Linked DNA regions of Styela clava. The protein of the gene in region 1 purifies or fractionates together with the protein of each later gene. This does not show direct contact. Links are inferred from orthologs where the notes say so. Each region holds a gene or a part of one and is shown in the gene's direction. Other genes may lie near its edges.

What was found. Proteins that work in one complex are often made in the same cells at the same time.
Region 2: the proteins of small ribosomal subunit protein RACK1-like (region 1) and vigilin-like purify together in Homo sapiens (affinity purification with mass spectrometry; 3 studies listed by BioGRID and IntAct, with this or other methods). This does not show direct contact. The link is inferred for Styela clava from reciprocal best matches to the Homo sapiens genes RACK1 and HDLBP.
Region 3: the proteins of small ribosomal subunit protein RACK1-like (region 1) and serine/threonine-protein kinase RIO3-like purify together in Homo sapiens (affinity purification with mass spectrometry; 3 studies listed by BioGRID and IntAct, counting the BioPlex papers as one, with this or other methods). This does not show direct contact. The link is inferred for Styela clava from reciprocal best matches to the Homo sapiens genes RACK1 and RIOK3.

Annotation. Positions count from the first base shown.
Region 1 is NC_135260.1:11,114,504-11,122,010, forward strand, and holds small ribosomal subunit protein RACK1-like, read left to right. Parts: upstream 1-4,856; 5' UTR 4,857-4,983; intron 4,984-5,904; 5' UTR 5,905-5,923; coding exon 5,924-6,883; 3' UTR 6,884-6,989; downstream 6,990-7,507. Other genes in the region: actin-like protein 6B, read right to left, coding at 372-1,634. UniProt on the Homo sapiens protein: Scaffolding protein involved in the recruitment, assembly and/or regulation of a variety of signaling molecules. Interacts with a wide variety of proteins and plays a role in many cellular processes.
Region 2 is NC_135256.1:9,777,228-9,785,249, forward strand, and holds the start of vigilin-like, read left to right. Parts: upstream 1-4,965; 5' UTR 4,966-5,116; intron 5,117-5,390; 5' UTR 5,391-5,426; coding exon 5,427-5,460; intron 5,461-5,625; coding exon 5,626-5,765; intron 5,766-6,296; coding exon 6,297-6,518; intron 6,519-6,882; coding exon 6,883-7,089; intron 7,090-7,374; coding exon 7,375-7,467; intron 7,468-7,618; coding exon 7,619-7,741; intron 7,742-8,022. Other genes in the region: endoplasmin-like, read left to right, coding at 1-42, 341-419, 1,118-1,273, 2,123-2,284. UniProt on the Homo sapiens protein: Appears to play a role in cell sterol metabolism. It may function to protect cells from over-accumulation of cholesterol.
Region 3 is NC_135258.1:13,577,212-13,584,602, reverse strand, and holds the start of serine/threonine-protein kinase RIO3-like, read left to right. Parts: upstream 1-4,334; 5' UTR 4,335-4,469; coding exon 4,470-4,731; intron 4,732-5,228; coding exon 5,229-5,380; intron 5,381-7,391. Other genes in the region: uncharacterized protein LOC120338848, read left to right, coding at 2,224-2,288, 2,674-3,649.

The DNA of each region.
Region 1 (7,507 bases):
TTGAATTGTGTTTATATTATGCAGTAGTAAGTAGTCCACAGTCTTGTTGTCATGCCCACCACAATATTTCCTGTTTCTTATTTGGTCCACAAACACAAACATCAGTGAAAAAGGAAAATTGACAAGATTTCATTGCATTGCATGATTCTAAAACAGAACATTAGATGTAGTTCAAAGTATTCACCCACTCAGTTTATCTAGTTAGCACAAAATGTTTGACAAGTATTAGAGCTGTAACAATTTCAAAATTTGTTTCTGAGATGTAAGAATGGATAAAAGTATATAAATCGGCTGATACTTTCCAATTTATTAAGCTTGTACACTTTTATCAATTTATCACAACAATTTTATTTTTCATTCAATTCCATACATCAAGGGCATTTTCTCTCTACACTAGATTTTCCAGCTTCTTCGTATTCTTGTTTTGAAATCCACATTTGCTGAAATGTTCCTAAAGAAGCTAAAATAGATCCACCGATCCAAGGTGAAAACTTACGTTCAATAGAATTTGTAGGAGCAATAATTTTTAATTTGGCACTTGGTGGTGTTTTGTTTGACAACTCAGCTGTGAGCCTGTCAGTAAAACCTTGAACTAAAGTATTACCACCAGTTACAATTACACTACTGTAAAGTCCAAGTCGAATATCGACATCACATAATCCTACTGAAGATGATACAACGTGAGGAACGCCAAGCATAGAATTTCCTTGGATAAGTGATGGATCAAAAAGAGCTTCTGCAGCTTTCATACGCTCATGGCCAAAGTCTTGATGATATCCATTTGGGAAGCCATAGTGACATTGAGGCATTCCCATAGCATCTTGCTCAATGTAAGGTGTGTCTAGGAGTTGTAAAACTGATGCAGCAAAGTCCTCAAGAGTGTAATTCATCATGTACTTCTTCCATGATTCTGTAACTTCTGGAAGATCTTTTTTCTTTTCCCAATCTGGTTGACCTCCTTCTTTGGCTTCTTTTTTTGAAGCGATCATGTATGCAGGGATTACATCAATGTTTAAATTTTTCATTACTTCTCTACATTGCATAAGGATGAAATCGCCACCGAGCGGAGATTTTACGATTCCTTGTTTGAGAACATATCCATCGTGTACTGGTACAGCAGTTGTGTGGGTAGAACCGCTATCCAAAACAACCCCAGTTGATCGCCCATTAGCAAATGCTGACAAAACAGGGGATTTGCAAAGAAAAAAGGCAGGTACATTATATTTCTCAAACATTACTTCCGTTAGTTTTTCTCGCTTGTTTCTTGCATTCCAAGCTGGTTCGGAAAATAACACAGGATGTAAGTTAGATTCGCTATGCAAGCCACGTTTGTAAGTATAGTCCAACATAGATTCAAATAAATCCCAATCTTCTATCATTCCATCGAGAACGGGTGTGACAATTTCAGTATCTTTCCTTGGAGTCAACAAAGCACTTGTACCAAAATGCAACTTCTTTGTTGGCTTGGATTCTTCTCCTTCAACTTCCATTTCTTCTATTGCTTGGGATCCAACATGAGTAGGAAACACTGATTTGGGACAATCTTCTCCTGCATACCCAGCACGGACAGAATGTGATCCAATATCAATGACCAATGCACCGACTTCATCTCCACCATATATACCCCCACTCATGGTTTCTATTTATTGAACTATTAACTTACTTAAAAATTAAAATATTCAATGAAACAAATGATAATATGATTATGAGTTTAAAAAGAGATAAGAGAAGAGATTTCTATAGGGAGAAAATACAACAATGTATTCAGCTATATCGGATTTTGAAAATTTCCTTTACCTTCCATAAACTGAAATTCATGAATCCATGACTGAAGGTATCTTGACCTAATGCCACAAATGAAAATATTTGAATTGGTAAAAAAAATGAATGCTAAACCACTAAAGTTACGGATATGCGAAATATATGTGAATACTCCAAAACACAATTGTTAAAAATAAACTCTTTTCTTCTGTTTAATTGCAAAACTTGTTATCACTAAACATCCAAAATGAAGCTTTCAAGAGAGTACGCAGGGTGAAAAAGGCAATTTGGTATGGACAGAAAACGCTGGTTCTATAAATAAAATCGATTTGAAGCTGTTTAATTAGTAATCATGGGAACATGATACGAGTAACTCAGAGCTGAAACACGTAGTGTGTGTGGGGTTCTTATGATAGCAATACCTTCTTTCAACGGGTTGTGTAATCTCTTATGATGGCAATACTTTGCATTATCCGTCTAATACAATAAAAAATAATTGCACTCTTGCATTTTGATGGCTGTTGTACAGTAACAATATGGTCAACGAATAATAATGTCATAAACTAGCTCCGAATTCGTGACCTCCTTAAATGTAAATTTGAATTTCTTGGGCAACAGTTTTATCTATATGAATGGTTGTTTATCATTTTGGTGAAAATTACACAAAAACCCTTAATAGTTAAGACTAATGATACAGTGATAATAGGATTAAAATAGCACCTACAGGCTTTGCATGCCCTAATAAAACTAAATCCATTAGAATTGAGTAAAGGTATTGAAAGTCTGTGCAATTTCCAACACTCAACATAAACAGTTTTCAAAATCCAAACTTGGGAGACCTCTGAATTTTTTGACCAGTTCATGTAGGTATGAGATCTTCTTTTATAACTCTGGAAACATAGTTTTGCAAAATATCAGCAGTATTTTAGATGTAACTGCACGACATGTTATCACAATATCGAAGGGGGAGTTTTTACTGTACAATATGGACATATTTGGGATTGCACAATAATATTCGATTAATTCGAGATTCAATTCAATAAAAATATTTGATTCGACTCAGCAAAATATTCGATTTTGGGGAGCCCTAATAAAGGGTCTGGTATAGTTTAGTACCACATGTACTTCTAGTTGACCTGGCTTAACAATTTTTGCATATGTCAATCCTAACCCCACCTGACTACGTCACCGAAAAATTACGTCATTTCGACGTCACAGTGGCGTAATAAGGCCCACCGAAGTATGCGGATGCTTGTCCAAAACGCAGACAATCACCCGAAATCGAGCAAGCAATTTCTCTCGTTTTCTCGTCACAACGATCACTATAGGAGAGAGATCGCCGACTTCAGCAAGTTCGTTATCGGCAGCGCAGATGTCATTTCGAGCGATCGTAATTCTACTTTGGCAATCTCTATGACGTGATGGTGACGTCGTAGTGACGTAATTTTTGGATGGCATAGTCAGGTGGTGGTTAGGAATAAAATATGCAAAATTCGTTATGCTACGCCCACCGGAAGTACTTGTGGTACTAAACTATACTAGACCCCTAATAAATACACATTTTCAAAACTCTCATTGCATCATTGAATTCTGGAATTCGGGTTCTTCATAATATAATTACAGTTATAATACACAAGCTGACAAGTGTCTGAGTTTCTTTTTAATCCCTTTTTACTGCGAAAATTTTTAAAGATAGATTGTTGCTAATTCCGTGATTATTAAAAAATTAAATTTTTTCACATAACCAGCTAAAATTTCTATAAATATTTTCAAGCAATCAAATACAGAAATACATTTAGACTACTAAAAGGATTTACAGAAAGATTATAGAAAATAATAAAACTTGAAATTCATGGCATTGAAATTTCTTTTTCAGATATAACTTACCGTTCAGCCGTTATTGTCTCATTGTGCCATCTCATATTGATGTGCTGTCATTGGACGTTAAATCTCAAACATTATATCAATTCTCATGAACTCCGGACTTTTAGAAGCTTCCTTAAAAACTCTGGTGTTCAATATTGTATTCACCAACTATCCATTTTGATTTAAAGCTCGGCATTTGGCAATGATTAAGTCGTCCAGTCATCTTATCGGCTTCCCTTTCCCCCGGGATAAACATGAACACGTTAGATATCATCACGCTTTGGATATCATATCCCAAAGCCGAACAACATGTAACATCGCATAAAATAGGCATAAGCAGCTCCCGCCACTAAATTGTCACATGCCAGATTCAAAAATGATTAATTAGCGATAAAAAATGCTTCACAAACATTACCGATAAAACACAATAGAATATTTATTGTAATACAGTTTTTGTAACTTTTTAAATTAATTTGCAATTGTAATATTCAACTAATATAAAGTAATTTTTATTTATATTGCCATTTGTTATGCGTACGATGAGAAGTTGGCAACTGAAAGATGAGATAGGCTATATTTGCGCCACGAAATGAAATTTAAATATCCGGCTCTTATGAGAGCTGCTGATTAAAAAAAGTATGTCATTCACATAATGATGAATTACTTGTTTTTCATTAAATTTAAAACTTGTTGCAAGTTTTTTGAAAATAAGCAAGATATATAGAGACATGTTTTTGAACATTTTCGATAATAGAGGAAACTCGTGAAACGACGAATCAATGCTTATATTGGAAGTGCCATGTCGGACAAATGTTCGCGTGTTCTGAGGTAAAATGAATAAAACACAGGAAAAAGAAATAGATGATGAATTTCATTTGGCGAATAAGCAAAAACAATTGCAAATACCCAAATATGTTTTTGTAAAGGGGAAAAGGTAAATAAAAAATGGGTTTCTGGGTAGGTATCAATAATACCCTCTTCATTGACGCTATTTTTATCTTCATAGATGGTATTTCGTGAGACTGCTTTCACTCTTCTTGTGGATAAATATAAAATCCTCTCTAATATACGCAACTCTCAGCACATGTGGCCATGCTATCCGACAGAAGATAGTAGTTGCCAGATATATGCATTATGAGTTTCCGACATACAAAGTTTTGTCGCCAAATTTTATCCGTTTAAAATAAAATCTTTTGTTGAATATTATTTTATTTATCATATTACTATAAATTCTAATATATTCAAACAATTACATGTAGTATATGAAATCATCTCTACACAACTATAGTAGTTTTCTTGGTACAATCTGACAACTGCCAAGCCATTTCAGCCTTTTTACTTCACGGTCTCGTCTAGGTAGGTCGTGTTTTATTTGCAATATTGTTTTTATTGGTTTCTTTTTGAAATTAGCCATTTGTATTTATATGTAATTAGCACTTTTGTTGAAAAGAATTATTGAAGGTTCAGTAAGTTTTTGTTATGATGCTGAAAAATGTTCCGTTTGGGCAGACTTTGACCCATATTGCAAGATAAATTTCAGGTGCCACAGATTTTAACATTGAGAAATCTAAGGCTTAAGTTATTCAGTATATCTGGTTGATCTCCAGTCTGCTAGTGGGCAAAATACTTACTTTTTGAACTCTGGATAATGAATGTTTCGTGTTATTAGAAAAGGATTTACATATTTATCCCGGGGGAGAGAAAAGTCGATAAGACAGCTTAACCATATGGTGAACCACGGCCTCTCGTCCGGTTATCATTCCATGTTGAATATGGGATTAGTTAGTTCTTTAGAAGCATGGACTTGATGGTTGAGAAAGCCGTAATCAACCAGCGGTTACGTGAACCATTCTACGGCGGTGAGGAGTCTAGCAATTTTCTCGAACATAACTATCCTTGTATGGGATTCGGACATGCGAACCTACGCAGAGGTGCAGTGGCGAGCGTATTCCTAACGCTTAGCAGGATAATCCCCCCGCCACGCTCTGATATATGGTCAAATTAAATGATTTTGAGCTTTAAATAATTTAAAGTATTTTGTTTATGTGTGAAATTTTGGTATTGTGGAAAACTGTTATGTATATATAAAAACAGTTAAGCCCAACCACAGAACCAAGTCTGATTAAACATAAATATCTTTCATTGAGGCAGTTATTGCTTTGGCTCACAGGCTAGTTGTAATTTGACATAGTACTTGTTTAAGTTTATATTATGAAAGCGAAATATACACAACACACAGTGAATCACAGTAACTCACTTTAATTCTTTATTTTTCAGGTGCATACACTAAGCAGTCATGGAGCAGATGACATTACGTGGTACCCTTAAGGGTCACAATGGATGGGTGACTCAAATCGCAACTACTCCGGCTTATCCAGACATGGTTTTATCATCATCTCGGGATAGAAGTATTATATTATGGAAATTAACAAGAGAGGAGGGAAGATATGGTGTACCACAGAGAAGAATGACTGGTCATTCCCACTTTGTTTCTGATATCGTTATCTCATCAGATGGCCAATTCGCTCTTTCTGGATCTTGGGACGGCGAGTTAAGATTGTGGGATCTCACTTTGGGAGTTAGCACTCGTCGCTTTTGTGGACATACTAAAGATGTCCTATCTGTTGCATTTTCCACTGATAACAGGCAAATTGTATCTGCCTCTCGGGATCGCACAATTAAGTTGTGGAATACACTTGGTGTGTGCAAATACACCATAATGGATGATGGACATTCTGATTGGGTCTCCTGCGTCAGATTCTCACCAAATTCAGGCAACCCCGTTATCGTGTCATGTGGATGGGATAAGATGGTTAAAGTTTGGAATTTAACTAATTGCAAACTGAAGACCAACCATTATGGCCACACTGCATTCTGCAATGGCGTTACCGTTTCACCTGATGGATCTCTCTGTGCTTCTGGTGGAAAAGATGGACAAGCTATGCTCTGGGATCTCAACGAAGGAAAACATCTTTATACTCTAAATGGCGATGGTGAAATTCATGCAATGGCTTTCTCACCAAACCGATATTGGCTTGCTGCAGCATGTGGACCTTGCGTCAAAATCTGGGATTTGGAAGGAAAGGTTATCGTTGACGAGCTGAAACCAGAGCTTATCAACATGCCAAACAGCAAAGCTGATCCACCAGAATGTCTTTCACTCGCTTGGTCCTCCGATGGTCAAACCCTTTTTGCTGGTTATGCCGATAACTTGATAAGAGTTTGGCAAGTATCTGTACCAGCACATATTAGTTAGAAGGATCATGATTCTGCATGAATTATTGGAATACTCATTCGACAAAATGAATGGGAATAATGTATAAGAATGTGTTCCATACAAAAATTAAATATTCCAACCAATACTTAGCAGTGTATTCATTCAACTGTGCCATCGGGTAACAGGGGAGTTGAGCAATGAGACGAAGTAGTTGCAAGAGGAGATTTGAGTACAGTGTTTAGCGTAGCATGTAATGCTTGTAACCCAGTTGTGATACTGCTAGTATTTGGCTCATATACATCAGATTTTTATACCACATGCGTCCAGAGATTCTCATACGCGTAAGCCCTTGGCAGTCAACGGAACTCAATATTCTGTAGAAGATACCGTTCGGTGTGCTATATATTTCGTATTAGGAAGGATTCCGCTACTGAAAACCTCTACTAGCTAAAATAGCCAGCATATTAACTAAGCAGAACTTATCGGACTTGTTTTATTCAACCAGGGTCTGTGATGATACACTTTAAACTAGGTACTTTTAACCTGCAATGCGTGTACAGTAAGTTAGTCATAGGTACGAAATTACATATCAAAGGTACACTATTTAAATTTTTGCTTCTGCTAGGTCACACAGCATGCATCTTTCCACTTCTGTGCCTAAAC
Region 2 (8,022 bases), on another chromosome or scaffold:
GAAGGCTCAAGCTTATAAGTCTCAATCAGATAGTAGTTCAAAGTAAGAAAACTATTTTTTTGTACTTCAACACTGATTCTTTTATTGTAATAAAGGTCTGGAAATATGGAACGTTTGCAAAGTGCTCAACGATATGCTACTAAAAAAGAATCGTGAGTCGCGTAGCTCCCAGTTTTGGAAGACTGAAATTTAAACCATTAGATCAATTTTGATCCAATGTACAAAAATGTAGCTTGTAGTCATTTTAGACATAGCTTTAAATATATTAGAGTATTATATGTCATTTGATGACTATTATTTGACTTTTGAATGTGTAGTGATATTTGACTTATGATTTCAGTTTCTATGCAAATCAGAAGAAAACTTTAGAAATTAATCCAAGACATCCTTTGATCAAGAATCTTCTGGAAAGGGTTGAGGTAATGATTTATTCAGTGTATTGTTACTGAATTTATTACATTTTATCGAATTTTGGTTATTGTTCGTGAATCTTGACAGTAAAACTCTCATGAAAAGGGGTGTCTACTAAAATCTTGGTCACTGATAAAGCATGTGTTGCTCTTTGATGTGTGACTGGATTTCTGCAGCTTTCCGGTCGGTTCTGCTCCCGGTTTTGGTTTCAGACTTGAGACTTCTGCATTGAGCAAATGTGTATTAAAAACCAGTGCTAGGAGGCTGGATTAATTGACTTGGACTATCTGAATTTATGGACTTGTAACCGCTACTGTGAAAACCTGGGCAATATGTCAATTTTCAGTAAATCTTCAATAGCTCATGGTAATCTATGTCAATTTTTGAACGTATGTGCAGTTATTTTTACCCTTACTTTGTCTATACATATAAAAGACAAAAAAAGGCTGCCTATGTAATATTTTAGTACGCTTAGTATTGGGGCTTTCGTAAAGTCTCAAATTTTCGAATTGCAAAAAAAATTATCTACACCACACATGGTTTGTTGGCTCCTGCAAGTGTATTGAATGAAACTTGGAAATAAACACTGATCGAAAGATATTTAGATAACTTGACTTCAACGAGACTTTATGAACATCTGTTATATTTGTAGATTATTTTTTAAATTGAATGATTGAGTTGTAACCTCATACATATTTTTGTTTAGGCTGATAATGCTGATGATCAGGCAAAATCAATTGCGCAAGTTATGTTTGATGCAGCAGTATTAAGATCTGGATATACATTGAAAGATTCTGCTGATTTCTCCAAACGTATTCTCTCAATGCTCTACAAGAATCTCAACATTGATCCAGACACTCCGGTAAGTTCGTGAAGCCATTTGTGATAATATTATATAGCCAGAAAGTAAAAAGTAGCCTTTTAGGGTTGCATATAGATTACACATTAATTAAACATAAAATTGTCATTTTCCATCTCTGTTTGGAAGTTTCAGTCTCTACACACAAAAATTGTGAAAGTCCAAGGTTAACATAGCTTGATAGTATTTTTATTTCCCAAATTTTATAGTTTATAACTATAACAAACTTTGGAGCGATGATCCGCAGCAGGAAGCACATTCTGCCTCTCTGTTCGCTTTGACAAATGATGATAACTCTTTTTAATGCTTGTCCTATTTTTCCAAAACGTGACATAAATCTTGTAATGCATGCACACATGCAAAGTTCCAACGCCTGTTGCTTGTGCCAGGGCTGGGGATCTGGAACCATGAGATTTTGTTTTAGCTAGAGCCAAGCTTACCCTAATAGATAAAGTCGGAGACATAGCTGCCAGAAATTTTAGTGTTTCTAGCTCCCAACTATCTGATGATTATGTTTCACATTTATAAATTTCTAATACCTCATAAAAATAATAAAATCTAACCTTTTCAGTTTTATATTTACTTTTCCGATTTCATTTTAAACCATAATTTAAAAAGTTTGAAGTTAAATTTGTATTATACCATTGAGTTTCAAACCAGCTCCACACCTCGGCGGCTTGTGCAACTAGCTATTCCCAATTTTCAAATCCATCAAATATATATGGATGTGATTTTAGATTCAAACGTTCAATGGGCTATGCAAAAGTTTGCAATAAAAAGTAGTTTTGTCTTCGAGTACTTTTCTGGATTCCTTGTTAGGCGGGATTTTCAAATATTATTTCTCTAATTCAGATTGAGGAGGAGCCTGAAGATGAGGAAAAAGAAGAGGAAGATGAGGAGGAAGTAGATGCTGATGAGGAGGATGAAGAAGAAGATGATGGTGAGGATGAAGTGGAAGAGGGAGATGGTGAAGAAGAAAAGAAAACCGAAGAAGAATCTCATGACGAATTGTAAAGCTGAAAAAACCTCACTAGTCACTGTACGTACGGACAACTACGTGAAAGCCTGTTGTTGCCAGCACATAAAAAAAATCATGATTTGAAAAATATGAACAATTTGTGAACAATTTTCATATTTTTCAAAACTATCTAATGACCAAACTTCGTTATACATCCATTTTTCGTTTATAAAGAAGCCTTATTTGTTGTCTGACGTCCATACAAAATTCATTGCAGTTTAAAGTTTGTTCAGACTTTATTAAGTTTTCAAATTTCATATAGAAGCTGGTAGTAATTGTTCTATTACTGTAACCAATATGCGCGCTAAGCTAGAAACTGAAGTACTAGTATATTATTTGATATCTTCATAGTAGAAAAGAGTGATTTATGACTTCCTTTTGTTTTAACATACCTAGGATTGAAGCACTTTTGCCCTTCGCATACCTTCAAGTGCTAACTTTCTGTTATTTATATACCGGCGATCGTAGAGTTGAAATTATTGTGTTTGTTTATTTCAGTTAAGTTTCAGAGGTCACGATTCAGAGATTTGAAATTGGAATACATTCTAAGCAACATTATCAACGAACAAAACTTGCTTTATTTGTGATTCAATTTCAAATCTTTGCGTGATCTGTTAACATCGTGATATATAACTTTGTGCAGTTTTCAAGAATTACTTCGTTCATGGGGTGGCCTCTGGTCTAATAATGTTTTGAAAGTTATTGCATTTGCCTGTTCTGTTTGTTGGGAATGGTTTGTTAGTGCTAATTTCAGTCTATTGAAGAAATATTCTTTGGTCAGCCGTTATTCTATAGAAGTATCGGTGTGGTGCAAACCGTGCTTTCCTTGCACCCCCACCATAAAATTTCATAACTGTATTCCAATATCCAAAATGTGGCGCATATACCGGCTCAGATAGTCTGTCAGATATATAACACTTTTGTGGGATACAAATAGCTTTATTGCTAATACCAAATAAATATTTACCATCCCCTAAAATTGGAAATGACTCCCATGAAGGGAAAAACTGGGGAGCATACTGGATGCGAAGATGCCAAAGTGTAATTGCGAGTCTATTTGCAAGTTCACATGTACGCTAAGGCTGGATAACACATACCAGGTGTTGGGAGAATTGTCAATTAATATCTGAAGATATCTATAACGCCAGAAGCATTTGAACAGTCAAATGGACCCCGTGAAAGTTGTAAGTAAACATTGGGTTTGCCACTTCGGTATAGATTGTGTCAATTCATTGCAATTTAATTTTATACCCTGGCCACATAAGACGCGACTTTCCGTTAGTTACCGGTCTATATTGGGCCCGAGAATAGTTTATCCATTATGTCTTCCACGGATCGGCGCGTGGCACGAGTCTAGTCTGAAACGCAATTGCATATGTCCAGTGGTGGGATTCAGCCGGTTCGTACCAGTTCTATAGAACCGTCTCAAGGAATTTTATGAGATCAGCGAACCGGTTAGCATCACTGGGTACTGTTAATGTTCTGTTTGCAACAGAACCGGCTAATAAAAAAGACTTTTGTGAAGGAACCGGCTGACAAAAAATTTGAATCCACGGCATATATCGTTTCAAAAATTACGTATATATTGTGGATTTTGTATATTATCCGGGCATCGAATAAATTAATACTAAAGCACCCATGAGTCGTTCGACGACGAGCGATATCTAAATATGAGGAAGAATATAAACTAAAACATCCGTTCACTACAAACATCATTAAAATACCAATCAATTCCTAAAATATAGCTCAATTCCTAAAATATAGTTATCGCGTGCAAAATAAGTGAGTTTGTTTCAACAGTGTCATCAGATCAAATAGCATAACATGATATACGAATGTAAAAAATGAAATAGAAACTTAGTCTGGAGCAAATTTACAAGCAAATTGTTCATTATCACATCATCATCTAGGACTGAGCGAAATAGACATTAAATCATATTTCAAAAAACTGCATATTGCTATTCATATAAAACAGGGGGGTTGGATAGGATAGGATTTACATATTTATCCGAGATGAGAGGAAAACCTATAGACGGCTTGATCATAGTATTTATTTACGGGCGAACCACGGCCTCTCGTCTGCTCACATACAAATTATACGCCAAAGTTCATCGGTAAATCACGACAAAATATCCCGAAAAACGAACAATAGAAACAAAGCAGAAAACTAATTAAAAAAAAAATAAACTGTGTATCTCTCATACCCATTGTATTAATTTCTAAAACGCTTAAACTACCAGTAAGCGGTAGTTATCGAAAAGTATTTATCTTATTGAGTCTTTCAAGTAAAACGGTACGATTTTTGGGTAATTATCGGACGAACATATTAGATGGTCCTTCAGTTTGCCCTCAGCAAAGAAAGGTACTCATCCGTAACAAAATGCGGCGTCACATCCGCTCCACGTAGCAGAACTCCGATGAATGAAAAACATTAGTTTGTGACTCGACGTCGGTTGCTGACGTTGCTAGTGGTCTAGTTGGCAGGGTTGATAAAGTGTTCTGATTTTTCGAAGATGATATTTTAGTTAGTTAGTGTTGGGTTGCGTTTAATTTAGTCATCGATAATATGATATTGAGAAAGATAAATGAAATTTCAGTGTTTTGATTGTCCATTTGCCAGATCTGCAGATTGTTGGAGGACAGCCATTTTACAGTTTTAGTTTTTCAAATGTCCAGACTTGAAGAATTAATATGGATTTATTAATATGTGATTTGATACAATGTACTGTGTTTTCAGGTTTATTCCTAATCAATCAAACTGTATCTCAGAGTAAGATTAAAAACCGGACCGACCTTTGGATAGCGCTACTTGTTCCTTTTTTTATATTGTAAGTGAAAGTCAAAATTGAATTTTACGTAATTTAGCTGTTACCCTATACAGTTATACACAATTTTTTCTTTTATGCTGTCCCCTCCCCTCATAGCTTTGAATTCTTGTTTGGAAGTTTTGTTCGAGTAAAATAAATCACATAACATTTTGAATTGTTGAATTTTTCAAAAAATGTCCGCTTCTCAATTGGCAATCTGCCTCGCATATTAACATCTGTTTTGTATAAAACAAATAGAGATTTTCTAATGTAATATTCAACTTTTTCACACTAGGGTTCAGGAGTGCACGACCGTGAACGGACAAAGACTATGAATTCTGAAGTTGCTCAACAAAATGGTTCTGGTAAGAAGACCTGAATTTAATGAAGTATACTTTTCTTCACTTCTAGAATTATGCTTTCAGATATCTTCAGGTTGAATTCTGAATCAGAACTTAATCGAATAAAATCAAATGTTCTAATCAGTTGTAATCGGTAGATTCAATAATAAACTATTATTTTCATTTCAGATAACCATGAAGAAGTACCCCTTTATGCTGAAGCGTTTCCCGCTTTGGCCCCCGTTAATCGGTCAGGCAGTCCAACTGCAATTGCGAATGAATGGGTCAACCCTAAAGTTCAAAGATTGAAATCGAGTGTTGTTACCCAGGTTATTTGGAAATCTTGTTTCCATTATACAAATTCGTTATTTAATATTTATCAAATATGATTTATTTTGCCATTTTTCTCTTGAACAATTTGCTTACTTAAAAAGCCATTCATCACTCGCTTATATTCTGTTAAAAGAAATAATTTTATAAATTTGCTGTTTCAAATTTAACTATATTATGTCTGATTGTCTGTTTAAATTGATTGTACAAATATACATGGCTATTAGACAAACAAACAAAATTGCTGTATGCAGGAACTTCATTAATAGGTTGATTTTATTGGATAAATTGAGTGTAACAGAGTTCCAGTCGAGTAGCCATTTCACTTTGAGAGCTTCATTTAATCATACTTTAGGTTTGATTTGCGATAATATATTTGAGAGGTGATAAAAAATCATTTAGTAAAAATGATCACTTAAAACTTTGATGCGCTCATAATATACATTCAGTTGTAACATGTGTAGTTTTTATTATTGCTTATTGATGAAATAGAAACTTAATGTAAATATAATAATTCTAACTTTCTGCAGTTGTTCCAAATCCCAATGGAGGAAAGAGCATTCAAACACACCGAAAATTTTGGCCAATCCCAACAAGATCAAAACAAGGCTTGTCTCGATATTATGCAAAAAACAGGAGCTCATATCGAAATGTCGACTTGCAAAGATGGATCTCTTTCATTGCTCGTATCTGGACAATTGGATGCTGTTTTGAGAGCCAGACGTGACATTTTCAACAGACTTCAGACTCAGGTGAATAAGTTCACTCGTTGATATTTTTCTCTCGTATTAGCTAACTAATGTAAAATAAATTTAAAAATCCTCTATTTATTTGACGATTGTTAAACAGCGAAAGCACAAGAATAAAAAAAAAAAGTCGGAGCAGGTTTTTCATGTAGTGCTCATTCACACCTTCTCTGCTATGAACAAGGCACTGTACGAGTCGAGCTGTCACTAATATGTAAAACCAGCCATATCATTACAGTCAATTCTAATACATTAACTGCTGGCCCATCACACTCACAAAGGTGTGATTGAATACTACCAGCTTATTTAAGCTTGCTTGTTATATATTGAAGTACTTTCAATGTAACATAATTTAATTCAATCTTTTCAGGCTAGAGTTACCTTAGATATTCCGAAAGAACACCATAGAGTCATTTTAGGAAAGGGTGGGAGCAAATTGCAAAAACTTGAACTTGATACCGCTACAAAAATCAACGTCCCAAGACAAGAAGACACTAGCAGGACCATCACGATCATTGGTACTCAAGACGGAATTAGTAGAGCAAGACATGAAATCCAACTCATATCAGAGGAACAGGTAACGTGTTATTGAGTGTTCAATAGAATTGATTTTTTTAATAATTTTTTTATTTTTACTACTTTATTTATATTATCGAAATTTTGTTACTTTGCATAAAAATTTTGACTTAAAGTTGATTTTTGGATATTTCGTTTGAAAAATTTGTTCTGTGCTACAATGCGTATCAGCTATTTAGTAACATTGTGATTTGGTAAAGTGTTCAAAAATAATTAGAAACCGTTTGCAAACTTGAAACTCATAGTTGTTTTCATACTTTTAATGTTTTGTGCTTAACTTTTTCAGTCAAAACTTGCTATTGAGAAGCTGAATGTTGAAAAAGAATTTCACCCTTTTATCAGTGGACCAAGAAATCAACTTTCTCAGAAAATAGAACAGGTTTGTTGAAACATAAATTTCAATTTGCGAAGAAGATTATCAAAGCTTTAAAGATAGATATTGCCACTAAATTTACCCGTACTTACAACACAAAACAATTAAACCAGAAAATATGTATTGACAGCTATAACCCCAAAAAATTTTTTTTTAGGAAAACGGAGTTCGTGTTCACATTCCACCTCCTAGTGTTCGAAAGAATGAGATTGTGGTCACCGGTGATAAAGATGGAGTCACGAAAGCTGTGAAAATTATCAAAGAAATCCATCAAAGAAAGGTGAATTTTTCTTCTTCCTAATTTTATAAAATGATGCGAAAATGCAGGATTTTTACTAATTTTTTTTTTTAATAAAAATTTGTTTTATCTTCAATTTTCAAAACCCAACACCATAAAATCATTATTTAGCCATATGTTACATGAATACAAATTAAATACGATATTAAAATTTTTATGTAACTTTGGGCACCAATATACCATCTGCTTGAGGCAGGAAGCATGAGCAATAGGTTTTCATTACATACAGTGTGTAAATTTCTCATACCAGCTTATTTAGCTCT
Region 3 (7,391 bases), on another chromosome or scaffold:
TATTTTCAAGCTTATATGAATACGTAATCTAACATTTTTTGTCAAAATATTTGTCCTGATCAATTTTATCAGCCGAGTATATTTAATTTCGACAACGTACTATGACAAATGAAACTGCATAGGCGATCAAACCGCCGGGATGCTCTCCACTCTGTATCCTAAGTTGCCGTCAAATATATTTGAATTTACTGCTTATCGTGATGTATTTCTTCCACAGCCTGTCTACAAACTTAATCATTGTTCTCTGTGTGGAATTTAGGACTCGCCCATGTTTTACGCCACCACCCTTCAATAAGCACAAAACTGTCATATCACCCTTCAATGAGCACAAAAACGAGATTATACGCACCGCTGCGCAAAATTAGAAGAAGGTTTGCTACTAGCTTCACAGTGGTCATTTTCATCTAGAAATAATGTGTACAGCTGTTTGTTTACAAACTAACTAGCTACCGGTAACCAACCAAAACCAAAAAGTGTGTGGAGTCCGATCTCGATATATGCGCGTAACTTTGACCTTGGGCTAAATTTTATTTTCTTCCTTGAAAGTTTCATGTGGCTGGTTGTCATGGAGTATAAATTGCGCCTTCGATTTTGTACAAGGAGGTTGCCTATAATTTAATATTTCTCATCAAATAAAATAATCGCTCGATTTAATGTTGCATATGACAATAGATAAGAATTTAATCGATGCAATTGTACAGAAGCACAGCTGAATGATATGGTGAACTATTTTTATAATTAAACAAATAATACCTCTTTGGGTTTCACACCTACAGACCTAGTACAACTTCAAAATCTACAATATAAATATACCACGGTATAAACATCTATAACACCTGTATAAAACAATGTATCACAGTAGTCTATCACAAAAATTACTACAATTAAGACTAGACAAATTATGACTAGTGAAAGCACTGGAAAGGACATTAGACAATTACCCAAATAGTATTGCTAATCCATTTAATACACAAATGTCGAAAACTGGACTATCTAATTCTCTCCAATATCATATTTGACAATTCCCAGTATTGTCCAAGTGTACTTGGGTTGGACACATGGGAATCTCTGTATTTATCCAAATTGTGTTTGAAAATATTCACAGATGCACTTGACGTCACATTTAATAGTAAGCTGTTCCAGTATTTTACGACCCTGTTCCCAAAAAAGTTCAACTTTGAATGCTGATTTTGTCTTACAAGGTTACCAGTTCTAGGAGACTTGTTGAAAAATTGTTGCGCATATGTACAAAAACCATTTAGTATTTTGAAGGCTTCTATTAACTCACCTCTCATTCTTCTTTCTAACAATGTTGTCAGTCCCAAAACCTTCAAGCGGTTCTCATAACTCTGTCCTATACAACAGCTTATTTGTGCTGTAAACTTCCTCTGAACTGCTTCTAGATTCATTATATCGCCCCAGTTCCCATGCAAATTAGCCTACTGTATCAATTGAATTTCCCGACTTTCATTTTACTATCTCTCCCAAATCATGTATGAAGATTCATATCAACCTTGTTGGTAAATTATTGAGGGACTAAGTTTCTCTTTGTGTTTATTGCTTTTATTTCAATTTTTTTATTGACTCATTTTGAATCTTGGTGTCGCAGACTTTCTGACTTATGATGACCATTTCTGGTCTATCGCGACTTCCAGTCAATTGCAATGAAATCCATTACTGTAATGCATAATTTTTTTTCTTATTCTGAATTTGTGTAGTGATTTCTTGCACGACGAAATAAACGTATTGTCTATTACATGCCGTCTCGCTCATCACACGCACAGTTGTTTTTAACTACCTAACTAATTGCACACAATTTAAGTATGAAGTTAGAGGAAATGCTATTATTTTGTTATTGTGTATTACTATACTAGATATGAGATTTGGTTGCATCGAAATGCAGTAATTTTTTAAAATGTGATGCCAAGTGTTAGTTTAATAAACACTGTTAAAAACTGAAAAATGCTTCAAAATGTCAAAATAAAGTAGAGCAACATAGGAAATTACTTAATTTCAAAAGAGAGCTAAGTTTATAGTAAGTATAATAGAAGTATACCTATAGAAGAATATGTATACAAATGTCCATCCATATAAGTGTATGTAATTGGTAGATATATAATAATTTGAAAAACTTGTTTTTACATGCTTCATCTTAATAATAATAATATTGTAATCGTAAAAATGATGCTGATTACCACCTACCGGTACCCCGGTATATGAATTATGGAAAAAATGGATGATGACGAATTCTTCCTTGGATGTAAAACCATGTATATCATATTAATAATGTACTGTTGATAATTATTTTTGGTAATATAATATTTATGTTATTTTTCATTTAAAAAAAAATGAAGACATATTCTGTTCATATTTACATTACTGGAAATATTTCGGAATTTTCTTATAAGCCTATAATTATATATTGTCTAAAACCTATCAGTGTTGTTCAGAGGGCTAGTACTGTCGTTACAGATCTATCCGCTCGTGTGATATTAATTGACAAGAGTATGTCGTACTTCAATTTTTTTTGCTCAAAGCAAGGTCTTGCTACCTCGGAAGTAAATTAGACTGATTTCTAAGCAAAGTTAGGGCTGACACTAAAATGCCTTAGCTACTAATTTAGATTGATACTTGTAGTAACTAATGGCTATGTAACAACTTCATGTATTTCAGAAAAATGGCAGATATTCAAGAGGAAATTAAATCATTACTTGGACGAGATGCATTGAAAACTGATTGGATAAAAATAGCAGAGGTCAATGCAAATCCAAACAAACCACAGAATGTACATCATCAAATTGAAATATCACTGGATAAATTGTACACAGGAATGAGTGTCAGAATTCGCGCAGACAAAAAAACACCATGTACCTCTTGCTCGCGTGGTATTAAGAAGCACAGCTGTGCTGTATGCTCAAGCACCGGAAGGTCCGATCCAGGAATTTTAAACAACTGTACGAATTGCGATGGTAAAGGCTTCAGACTTCTTACATGTGATGTTTGTTTTGGGCAAGGGACTCTTCAGAAAGAAAAATACCATGCTGTTACCATACCTCGCGGGGCAAGAAATGGGCATCAGATTTGGATAAAGGGTGAAGGTGATACAATGCTTAATCAACCAGATGCGGCAAGTGACATTGTTTGCACTATAAAAGAGCAACCACATAGTAACTTTCGAAGATGTGGACATGATTTGTATATACAAAAGAATATTTCTATAACTAATGCGTTATGTGGTTTGAAACTTGTTTTTACACATCTTGATGGTCGAAAAATTGTGTTAAAGACACAACCAGGAACAGTAATAAGGACAGGCGATATGCTTTGTGCGAAAAATGAAGGCATGCCGGTGTTAAACTCCAAAACTGGTGCAAAGGGAGATCTTATAGTTATGTTTAATGTTCTATTTCCTAAAAAGTTTGAAGATTTGTCCGTTTTACAAAATATAGAAAATTATCTCCCTAAGCGAACAAGCCCTGATATCGCAAGTAAAGATTTAGAAGAGTTTGATCTAACCCACTTTGATCCTAAAGAAATAGTTTATGCAGTGCCATACCGACAACAAGAAACGTATGAAGATTCACCAGCAAAGAAAAAAACGGAACAGAAAGAGGAACCTGAAAAATTACCTACTTGTGCACAACAATAGTTCGTTTCTATCAGTCGGGGTGATGGGGTTACGCAAGACCATTTTTTGTCCCTCCTCTCTGCCTTTGCATCAGTGGACCCATTATGTGCGTATAATTATGCAAGATTGCTGTAGCAGGAATAAAGAATTTATTATGTACTTAATATTTCAATTATGCTTCTTCTGTAAAGAGCAATGTCAATCTAAAATTACAAATGTATCAAAAAATCATGTTGGAAAATGCATCGCTGGTAATTATTCACTTGTGTATTTTATAACTTGATTGTGCTGCCTTAAATCGTGTCAAGTTTAGGCTCCGAGTCTTTTTATATTTTGTTCGAAGCTAGATCTTGCACGTAAAAAAAGACAAACTGTCATCAAGAGCTATGTCACAGATGACCACTGAATTATGCTATAAGCTACTAAGATCATATAAAACCGACTAGCAGGAGTGTAAATTTCCTTTTGATGGTGAGGAGTCCAGCAGTATTTCACCAGCGTTTATCACATACCAGATTTAAACGATGGAACCATACACTGCATCTACTGTACATCTGTAAATACTGTATCACTGTTGGCTTCATGAAGTTCTTTTACTGTCTTTAATTTTGTCAGGATAAACAAGAAATCATATTTATACTCCATTAATGATCCTTACAAACTACCATTTCACTGCGATAAACTATTTTTGCAACTTTCTATTATTGCTCCATTTTTTTTTTCAGAAAAGTCGTAGATAGGTTTAGGGACATTTCCATCATTTCAATCTTCAAATATATATTCTGGTACGGTAGTAACAGGTGGGGGGTCATAGGGGAAAACATTTTATATATTTCATTCTATGAAAATCTGGCAACAAGGAACTATGGCCTCCAGCACTAAAGTAATTGAAACAGGAGCAGTGGATACACCAAACACCAGTGTTCTAACTTCACCTGATATGACTTGTGGAAAGTCACCTGGATCAGGAAGATCTTGGTCTAATCGTATGGAGCCTCTTATCTCGTTTGCTGATGTAATGAGTGAACAATTGGCAGACTCCATTGTTCAAGAAGAATATCAAACTATAAAAGATGATTTCAAAGAACCGATAGATGATATTGGTAAGATACTGGATCACTGTTTAAGAAACCAGAAATGAAATTTATCAAATTGCCGTAGTCATGTTAATAGTGTTGGATGCCGTAAATTGGAGTTATTTTAGAATGAAAAATTGATATGTGAATGCACAAGTTCAGGTGAGAAATAAGACAATAGTGAATAAATCCATTTGATACAGATGGTAATTTTTAAAATAGGGTAATGTTGGATTTTTAATAAAAGTTTAATTAAAATATAGAAATTTTTTTATTTCTAAGGATATTTTGAAGCAATAAGTATTCACCAAATTATAACAATAAAAAGTAACAGAGTAGAATAGCTTTTCCAAGTTTTGCCATTTTGGGCTGGAGTGCTCGAATATCAATTTAATTATGGTACGAATATTCCTTGAAATGGTAACAACAACATTTTATTTCCAAGCTGCAAACCTAACAAGTTACTTTGGGACACTTCAAAATTCATTGCACGAACTGCTTAAAAATAATTCTTTTATATTTAGAAACATCAAATCAGCAACCTATTGTTTTGGGAGATGGTTTTCCTGATACATCCAGTGATGAAGCACTTGCTCTCATGTTACAAGCAGAAATGGACAAAGAATATAATGAATACATAGCAAAAGAAGAATCAAGAGTAAATCAGTATTCAAAGGTTTGATGGAATACTATATATCAATGAGCAGGGATGGCCAATTCGAATAAAGTATTCGAATATCTCATCATTCGAATATCGAAATTCACGTTCATAAGAATATCGGATATTTGTGTGACGTCACACATTTTCGCCGCCGCTTTCGAGACGTTTCCGTTGAATGAAAACATCCTCGATAGAAACTTGCGCGTGATTGTTTTCATCACTCATCAGCGAAACGTGTTATTTCCTCTAAAACGAAAATTTCCCACAAATTTGTTCCACGATAACGATAACATTTATTCTATTTTTGTACGCGCACGTAATTGTGAATCTGGTAAGTACGTTCATTGGTGGCGAGTTTCTAAAGACAACGCAACATTTTGATTGAAAAGTGGCACAATATAAGTTTTGTTGAGGCCCGCGAAAATTTAAAAAACGCTTTTCTAGGCAGTGAAAATCGCAAAATTTCGTGTGCCTCTCGCACACATTATGTTTGGTCGGTGTTTAGAAACATATCGTCACTAATTGAGGGCGGGATTTGCCTGATTATCCAATACTTTAAATTGCCGTCGAATATTTTCGTGTTAACACGATACAAGGTTTGAAACGCGACTTTTTCCCGGGTTGTGAGGATGTATATAATATAATTAATCTGAAGTATATTCGATCAATTTTATTGTGATGAAATAAATTTTACCTTGAGATATTACAGCATATTTATGAATTTTTCAAACGGTTTTCATCTAAAAATAATCAGAGTGGCAGCATTCCGATCGAGCGGAGTCACTGTTAACAAGTACAGCTAAATATTTGCCGAATTCGCAAAATACGGATCAAAACAATATTTAATCGAACAGTTTACCTCACGTTTTTATTTTTATGACCGCGGATTGCAATGGTATATAAGAGTGGTGAGGATTTTATTTTGTCGACGCAACCGCAGGTTAAATTGAAGACAATTAAATTAATAAAGCAAGACATTTTAAATATGCCCGTGTCGGTCACGAATTCATCACTTTGCACAACAGAAAAATATATATTCGTTGTCATATCTTTTGTTGTAAAAGTCGACTCTTTTAACAGGTGGCATAATCGCGGCGATGAATATGTATTTTTAATTTACTGCTAAACTTTATATGTATATTCATTGTATGAAATGAATTATACTCTACACTTAACAGGATTTTATATAATTATTTGAGATTTTTCTAACGGCGATAACGAGTTGGCAAGATTGCAAAAATACGTATTAATATTAAATACATCAGGCAGTTTATCTCTTTTAATATTAGGTCACAGATCGCCGTGGACCGAATAGTAATGTTTTTTTTTTTGACGCAAGAAGAAGCAACTGCGAGTTACGTTGGACACATTAAATTAATATATAAAGATATTTTAGAATCTTGTATGTCATGGATTGAATTTTTTACGTAACAGAATGATCATTACACGCTGAAATGACGGCTCTTTTAACGAGCGCGAAATCGCGGTGGGTGTTACAGGCGGCAATGGGAATTTTCGATTTCGAAAATCCTGGCTGCGCGCTGGCAGTGGTGGTCATCTATTCTCTACTAATTTATTTCTAATTCCAAACACAACAATATTGTTCCCATAAATTAATATACAAATATACTGGTAGGTTGTAGAATACTCTAGGCTTAAATATTAGAATTTTTAAAGGCATAATGGATTTTCGATTGTTGTTGGCTGTATTGCCAATAAATTTTATTACTCTCAGAAAATATACACACTTATCTGAATACAAGTAGTATGTTTGTCAATAGACTTAGAGCTCCTTGGATATATTTTCATATGGTCATTTGTACAAAGTGAATAATTTTAATAAACTGACTGTGTCACAAGTTGTCATTATTTTTTATTGATAGCTATAAACTATCAATTACTTTGTGTACATATACTGTTGGTTTGTGGCTTCATTCTGATATTTCTATTGAAGCTTATTTCCTAATTTACTGGGTTTTAATCAACTAAAACAAAAATGTGTTATTTTCGATTTTAGAATGTATTC